Schizosaccharomyces pombe: one gene and its partner. The protein of the gene in region 2 interacts with the protein of the main gene of each other region in a biochemical or structural test. Each region holds a gene or a part of one and is shown on either strand. Other genes may lie near its edges.

Region 1 (4,677 bases), on a different chromosome or scaffold from region 2:
GCGTTAGTGTCAGTAGGAAGTGTGCTGATACCACCCATCCCAGATTAGCAGTGCAAAGTGGGCTCATTAAAGGACGAGTTGAAAGTCATGTTCCTAGGAAATATTTGAATTGCGAATTCTTACAAGTCAAACTGACGAGTTTTGACAATGAAGAATGCCCTCCCCTTGGTTGTTGGTATACTGTTTTTATTGATAAATAAAAGTACCATGTCTCTCTGTACATACAACTACGATTTTCGATATACAGGAATGTTTAGATAATTAATCTTTTAAGAGAAATTCTTTTAGTAATGCAAATTTCTATGATTGTATAATATGCTTGAAACTGTGATTTGTCTGGGGTTTTCTTTTTTGTTATATTTTTATTATGTACAACGACTCTTGTTCACCCAGGTCGAAGAGCTAAGGGTCGCTCATTTCTATATTTCTTTCAAGTTTCCTTTTTTTGCTTAATACATTATCATTTGATTGTTGCGATTGATTGTTACAATCGATCGCTCGCACCGATAATCTCAATTAAGCTCAGCGTGTTGACTTACTTTATCTAACCTTTAAAATAGGTCATCGCTACAAAAATTAGTAAACGAAAGAATAAAGAAAATACAAATCCTTCAATTGATTTCTCGTTTTACTCCCTTTTTACTCGGCAATGTAATAATAAATTAATAATATACATTACATTATTTTTATTTACTACACTTTTAAAATAGCGATGTGGGTATTGGACGCATCAAATCAATTCATTGAATTGAAAGTCTGTAAATACCGGGATTTGTCATCCCATCAAACAAAACTAAGCTGCCCTCAAGAAATTGTACAAAAATTTAAAATTTCTTTGACTAGCTCCTATTATGCGATTGTTTCGTCGAATATTTTATATGATCGGTTCGAAACGATAGCCATGCAAGATGAGCAGCAACAGTAATGCTCGTTAAATTAACTAAAAAGCAACTTATTACAAACCAATTGGTAATTTCATAAAAAAAATGAAATGGTTTGGAGAACAGTGTACAAGCTAATGGATAGCATACTAAACGTAACACACCAGACAACCATGCATACTCGGATTTACATAATCAACTTAGTATCTTTATCTTAAGATACAAATTAGTATTTTACGCAAATTCTCAAAAATCGACCGAGTAAATAAGTAATGTCATCTCATTTTATTATTTACTACGAAAATCAGCATATTTGTAAGGTGAGAAGCTTTCAGCTCTTAAGCTTAGATAGTGGAAATTTTGCAATCCGTAAAATGTAGATTGTGAGAAGGATCTTATATGATTGTATGCATTATGTAAAGTTGGTTTACGAATATGGGCTTTAAATATCCTTGGATATAAACAAGACATTGGGTACTACTATAACTGTATAAATTGTTTACAATTTGAACTGAGGAACAAAAATTCGGTCGATTTATTTTAAAGGATTTTAGTCTTAAAGATAATTACTCTCAAAGAACGGATATATATCCGCTGCGGAACGGAAATATAAATAACTACAGATTATATACTGATTAACGACATAGCGTAGTAGAAAAATACAGATAAGATATCGTTAGTTTTACGTTACGCTAAACTCGATAAGATATTCTCATTTCTCCTGCTAAATTTGCTGTATTTTTCCTCGCAAAGCTTCGGTATTGAAAAAAAATAGTATAATAAGTTGTTTGTTATTTAGGGATTGCACAAATTGAGTATTATAGTAAACAGTTTTTCAATATATATCTACTCAATTCCTTCGTACCCGCTACCACCAGCAGTATAGAAAAAGTGAAAGGGAATTGAAGGAGTTTGAATTGAACCTGTTCAATTAAAATTCTTCATGTATCTGCTAAGCAGCTAAAGTTATTAGAAATGGAAAATAACACTGCTTCTTCGCCGTACACAAAATTAGAATTGGTGGGACGCGGTTCGTACGGCGCAGTCTATAGAGGGTATGAATATTATTCGAGTGATTCTTTTCTACATTTTCTAACATTCTAAAGAATTTGCAATTTAACGAAAGAGACTGTTGCCATCAAGATTCTTAATTTGGATACCGATGAGGATGAAGTCTCTGATATTCAGAAAGAAGTCGCTGTTCTTAGTGAATTGAAACAGTCCGATGTCGAAAACATTATAAAGTATCATGGCTCTTATTTGGTAGGTACTAATTTATGGATTATAATGGATTATTGTCATGGAGGTAGCGTGCGTACTTTGATGGAGGCTGGTCCCATTAGTGAACCATGCATATCTTTGATCCTTAGAGAGACCTTACAGGCATTAAAATTTATTCATCATGCAGGTATCATCCATCGTGATATAAAAGCTGCCAACATCCTAGTTTCCATGTCTGGAAATGTCAAGCTATGTGACTTTGGCGTTGCTGCCGAACTAAACATCAATCGCCGAAAGCGAATCACGTTTATTGGAACGCCTTATTGGATGGCACCAGAAGTTATTCGAGATGGTCAGGAATATAATGTTATGGTATGTTTCGTTGCTGATTACTTATAGCCCTTTACCTATTCCACAAAATTATTAACAAAGTTTAGGCTGACATTTGGTCGCTCGGAATCACTGCATATGAAATTGCTACTGGATCTCCACCTCATGCCAAAGAGGATCCTTTTCGTGCCGTTTACCTAATCGCTCACACCGCACCCCCTAGACTCAATGGAAATTTTAGTGCTCTTTTAAAAGAATTCATTGCCTCTTGTTTGCAGGATGTCCCTCAGAGGAGATTAGATTCTTCCGAACTTTTGAAATCAAAATTTATCAAACAATATTCTCGCATGTCTATTTCTGAACTTACCAATGTTGTAAAACGCTATGACACTTGGCAGGCTGCTGGCGGCATACCCCAAACGCTACTCTTGGGTGAAGAAGCCGATGATGGAAGCGACCCTGATCAGGAAACCTCCGACACCGCTGCTTCTGATGATGGTTGGGAATTTGGCACTATTAAACAAGGTCAAAGTAACGTTTCATCCATCACTGGCACTTCCACCTCCACTACTACCGCTGCTACTTCCTCCACTACTGTAACTGGAACTGTAATTCCAAAATCTTCCACAGTGCATGAACCCCCTTCATCTAATGATTCCCATCCGTTATTACAACTTTTTAAGGATTCAAAGATTTCGGATGATGATTCTCCCAGTAACGCTGAAGGAGCTTCTACTGAGGATTCCAAAGGTGAAGTATCTTATTCTCAAATCGAATTACCTAGCTTAGATTCCTCAAATCTATCCTCCAAAAAATCAACCATTCAATCGAAACACACTAAGCAAGCTGAAGATTACGATTTGTTTGTAGGTCGCACACGCTCAAATTCCAAAACCTCATCGGATCAAAGTATCAAACGACCCCTGCCTCGAGTTGTGCAACGTCAAAAAACTTCTCTTGGAAAACGAGGAATATCCATGTCACCAATGAAGCCGGGTCTTCGTATGCCATCCTCATTCGACCTCCAATCTAGAAGTATATCGATGGGCGCATTTGAACAACTATCTACACCATTAGAAGCGCCAGCGCATAAACATTCGGCAGTGCTACAGCCATTAGAGGTTAATAGGTCAATTAGTATACCTCCTCCGAAATCGATTTCTCCCTCTATTTTGCATAAACCTAGTCTTGAATCCGCTAGTTCTACTCCTAAAATTTCCTCCTGTTCGTCCACTCCTAAGCCATTTAATTCGAAATTAAGAGCTCATTTACCCCCTTTATCCATTGGCTCACCGGCCGTTCAACCATTAGCAAATGATAATTACGATTCTCTGGGGGTTCGAGGTCTAAATATGGAATTATTTAATGATTATCCAGGTAATATGCACAATATAAAGTCTGTATTGAGCTTAGAAATAGACATCGTTTTGGGAGAAATGGACGCTTGTCTAAAGAGCTTGGAATGTAATCTTTTAAACAGAAAAGCATATAATGAATAACTGTTTATGATGCTTTTAGTCCTTTCATAATATAATCTTTAATTTATTTAATGTTTTAACTTCTCTTTTTTTGCTAATATATTCGTTCATCTTTTATGAAAATCTAAATTGTTGAGATAATGATGCCAAATACAGAACATTTAAATTAAAATAGTGCCCACGGTTAAGGAATAGAGTCGTAAATTTATTGTCGTGATAATAACTAAAGAACAAGATGAGGGATAATTTAATTTATATGAGTTACAATTTGAACGAAAATTACAATGATTTAATTTACCTTACTAAATACCCAAACAGTAGAAATCTTAATATTGTATTTAAATAACCATCCAAATGAACCATTTTTATTACCAAAGCATCAACCCGTCGAGGAAAACTTTAACTTGCTACAAATCGAGTGTAGTCTATCGTAAAACCGTAACTTTTGTTCTGTATTCACAAAATTTATTGCCTGTATCATCGCATATTCCTGCATAGTTTCAGTCCCATGAAGAAGTAAAACCATCAATAACTTTTCGGAGGGAAAATGTTGGGAAAAGCAGAGCGATAGGAAAATCTTTTGAGCTGTTTCAAATTTTCGTTTTCGTAAGAACCACTCTAAAAGAGTTGTTTTCAATTCATAAGAAGCAGGAAGAGCCAATAACTCCATATGTTTTAATAAATAAAAACTAGTCCTAAGCCTATTTTTTTGAAGTAGAAAGTAACGAATAGTTAAAGTGAACATCCTCGATCTAAGAAAAGGATCA
Region 2 (3,799 bases):
GGTATTTTACCCGGTGAATTCGTTGAATCTAATTCAACATGGTGGAACCGTGAAGGCTACTATCAGATCCCTGAACACATGAATGAATTCAATAATGAAGAGCCAACTCGTTATACTTCTCTTGAGTCTTGCGATTTTTTAATAGATTTAGAGTTTGATCATTCGAAGGCCACAGTCAACGAACCGATATATTCAAAGTCTGACGGTTGGATTCCAGTCATGGTGTACCCTTTCATTGACACGAAACAAACTCCTTTTATGGGCAGAGCTTTTGCTGTCCCCTTTATTGAGCCTAAATGGGGCCGATATGAGATATTGGTGAAAAAGCCGGTCAAGATTGATTTTTCAAATTTGCGTCGTGCCTCTAAACAACAAGCTTAAAATTTTTAAGAGAGTGTATGTAAGCCTTTCTTAGGTTGTTATTACTAAAAATTGTAAAAGTCTTTGCAAGCATATGTCCAAAGCTTTAAATTCTCTAAGAAGAAAGAAAAGGCTGTGGAAACTCAATTACATAGAAAAAATGCGAAGTTATTTTACATTTGATTTTCCAATTTGTCAGATATTTAATTAATAATTAGTGTCAAATAATCTATCTAAACGGTTGACTTGGCGATGTCAGACAATCTTAGGAAGTCTTAGTACATGAAATAATAAAGTTCTTTTATTCATGGAATCGGTTAGCAATTAACCTAATGCTAATATCTAAAGCATCCGTATCTCATGCATCAAATATTTCAACTCGCATATATCATTTAATAAATCTAATCTACAATTTTTTTTCCTTTGTAAATATAGGATGGACAACAGCATGATTTTGAAAGACATGAGCACATTGGTGAGTAACAAGAGTCATAAGCGTTCAATCTGTTTTATTACAAATGCGCGTTCATCATTAAACTGCTCATCATTTTTCCGGTCAGTATGAAAAGCTGACAAGTAAGAAATCAACTTTGATTTGTTCCTCCTTAATATTTCGATTACTTCTTCCGACTTTTCAGGATTAGCAACAAACAATTTAAAAACATGAAAAGCTTCAAATTGAATGTTTTTACTCTTATCTCTCAGCAGAATCATCATTAGTTTCAGATTCTCAGCAGAACTAATATAGCGTGTCATGACTGAACGGTTAGCACGATTAAGAAGAATTTCCCCTAAAAGCTTTAAAGATTGACGTTTGGTAACATAATTTTCAGATTTCAAAAGGACAGTGTATTGCTTAAAAAACTCGTCAAAATGGTATGAAATAAACTCAGCAACTTGGGATTTATGATTAAGAAGAATAGACTGATTAAAGTTAGTAAATGCAAAACTAGCGGGAGTATATAAAAACATTGCAACGACAGAAGTTTTATTTGGGGATAATACGTACCTTAAAAGTCGAAAACGCATCACTCGCCATATCAAAACTAGAGGCTTGTATCAAACTAAAAAATGTCCAAAAATCTCGTGAGTTTAAAAGTACCTCATTAAGGGCTTCATGACGGGAACACTCACGAAGGATAGAACCAGCAGTAAAAGCTACTTCCTGGTATCGATAGTATGAGACCAATACTGGAAAGATTTGCGGGTGCGCAAGCATGTAGTCAACAGTGGGATATCTCGATGCTACATGCCTCCTAAGTAAAGCGCTAAATATTAGTCCTGTATCCTTTTTAGACTCAAACTCCAATTTCGGTAAATATCGAACGAGTAAAAAAGGTAAATTCGACTGGTAAATTTGAAAAGATAAGTCTGATACGAGATCAGCATCAGGCTCTACTTCAGCTGTCCCACACAATGAAACCCGTAAATTCTGTAAACATTTGGAAACTTCCTCAAAGGACTGTTTACGTTAGTCATCTAAACGAACAAAAACAACAATTACTAATAATTAATACCTTCTTTTTATCATTGTTTATTTCCAACTTTGGGAGATTATCACATAAGCAGCGAACAACATCTTGGGTTGATTTTGGTCGTTTATTGAACAGAAACGACATGCGGAATTATGGAATTCGGTTTCTCTAAAAACTTATGGCATATGACAGGGTAAGTAAAGTGGGTGCCAGGCGATGGTCCACAGTGGGGGTCTATTTTCATATTCAGTTGAATACTATTAAGGTACACTTCTTGAGTATTCAAATTACCTTTACTTATACCTGAAGTGATACCAATGTGGGGGTTGTTACATCTCGATTATACATAAGTAATCAAGTATTGAAACGCAGGTGCATTTAGATGATAGCAAGTGTACTAAGTAGATCTATTTATGAATTATGCATTTTCCATACCTTTTTCTCTTCGGTAAATGAATTGGTAGGTTGGTATAGCTAGTAGAAATACAAAGTAGTAAAACAAACGTTTTTTAATGCTAATGTTTGAAATAGTATCTGGGATAAACTTGTAAATTGCAAATACATCCAAATCTCCATATAAACTTCACAATTTAAAAAAATTATTTAATTTAAAAAAAAAAATAAATAAATACCTGCGAGGTTTCTCGTTCTTACCATTTAATCAAATTTTCATAAATAAATATGTGAGAAATTGCAATCCAATTTTCGTCACAGATATTAATCAGACGAAGGGTAAAATACTCTGCTTAAAATATGAATCAAGATTGAACAATCTTAAGAATTTTATACATGTGTAAATCTTCAAATAATATCAGGAAAAAAAGAATATGTAGAAGGAAGTAAACAATTTTAGCCTGTTGATTTGTAAATTTATTTTTTTTAATTCACACTTCGAGCTTTAACATTAAACAATTATGTAGTTAATTACATGATATTATTCTGTTTTTGATACGTTGCCTTAAACAACAATTATTGTAGAGGCACCATGTTAGGTTAACCTCGTCTTTCCCTGTATATGAAATTAGCCCGCTCACATATTGTCTTTAATGATTTTTTTGGATGTATGGATCTAATTTATATACTGCGTTTTAATCATACATTATTTGATTTTTTATCTTTTTATAAAGCAGTTTTACTCAATGACTTCAATTAAAGTAGTGTGCCGAATTCGGCCCACGAACCAGTTGGAACAAGACCTTGGAGGAAATAATGTGATATACCCATTAAACGATTCTACTGTTCATATCGAGGTAGGTTTCAACAATTGATCTTTACTTTAGAATTCGGCTGACATGATTAAAAGACTAGTGATTACTCAGGAAACTTTGTATTCGATCGTGTTTTTCATCCTTCTAGCACTCAGAATGATATATTTTCGTATTCAATTGAATCGACAGTCGATGGTATGTGAATGATAGTAAAACTTTACACGGCGTTGAACGGATTAATTTCATCGTTGTCAGCAACAGCTTGTATGAAATTATAGCATAGCCTTTTTTTATATGCGCTCGTTTTGACGCTTCATTTGAAACGAATTGCCATTTTAATACATTGTTCGAATCACATTCAAGTTGTTCTGAATTTCATTAAATATGTACTAATATATTATAGACTTATTCTTGGGTTATAACGGAACAGTACTAGCCTATGGACAGACAGGATCCGGCAAAACATACACCATGATGGTATATTCACAATTTCACCTGGCACACTTTTCTAACAATCTTTAGGGTATTGAAAATAATTTCGAAAAAGAAGGAATGACTCCAAGAATGCTCAGGCGTATTTTTGACAAAATCCGCGATTCACCATCTACTACTGAATACGAAGTGAAGGTATCATACATGGAAATCTACATGGAAAAAATTCATGATCTACTTTCCGGTAAGCCTTCAAATGCCGTAGAAATTTTGCGACGTTCGTATTTAATTTCAGCAAAATTAACCATGATTTACAGAAAAAAA

Evidence for each region.
Region 1: the proteins of pmo25 (region 2) and nak1 form a complex in vitro, tested with the Schizosaccharomyces pombe proteins (one study listed by BioGRID).

The regions. Positions count from the first base shown.
Region 1 is NC_003423.3:2,481,500-2,486,176, reverse strand, and holds nak1 (PAK-like kinase Nak1), read left to right. Parts: upstream 1-1,751; 5' UTR 1,752-1,856; coding exon 1,857-1,936; exon of another isoform or gene 1,937-1,987; coding exon 1,988-2,474; intron 2,475-2,539; coding exon 2,540-3,931; 3' UTR 3,932-4,110; downstream 4,111-4,677. Other genes in the region: SPOM_SPBC12C2.01C (uncharacterized protein), read right to left, coding at 4,290-4,677.
Region 2 is NC_003424.3:4,703,941-4,707,739, forward strand, and holds pmo25 (mo25 family protein Pmo25), read right to left. Parts: upstream 2,002-3,799; 5' UTR 1,980-2,001; coding exon 1,878-1,979; exon of another isoform or gene 1,823-1,877; coding exon 1,370-1,822; exon of another isoform or gene 1,285-1,369; coding exon 850-1,284; 3' UTR 548-849; downstream 1-547. Other genes in the region: mannosyltransferase complex subunit Alg9, read left to right, coding at 1-381; kinesin-like protein Klp3, read left to right, coding at 2,975-3,085, 3,139-3,238, 3,447-3,520, 3,566-3,719, 3,793-3,799.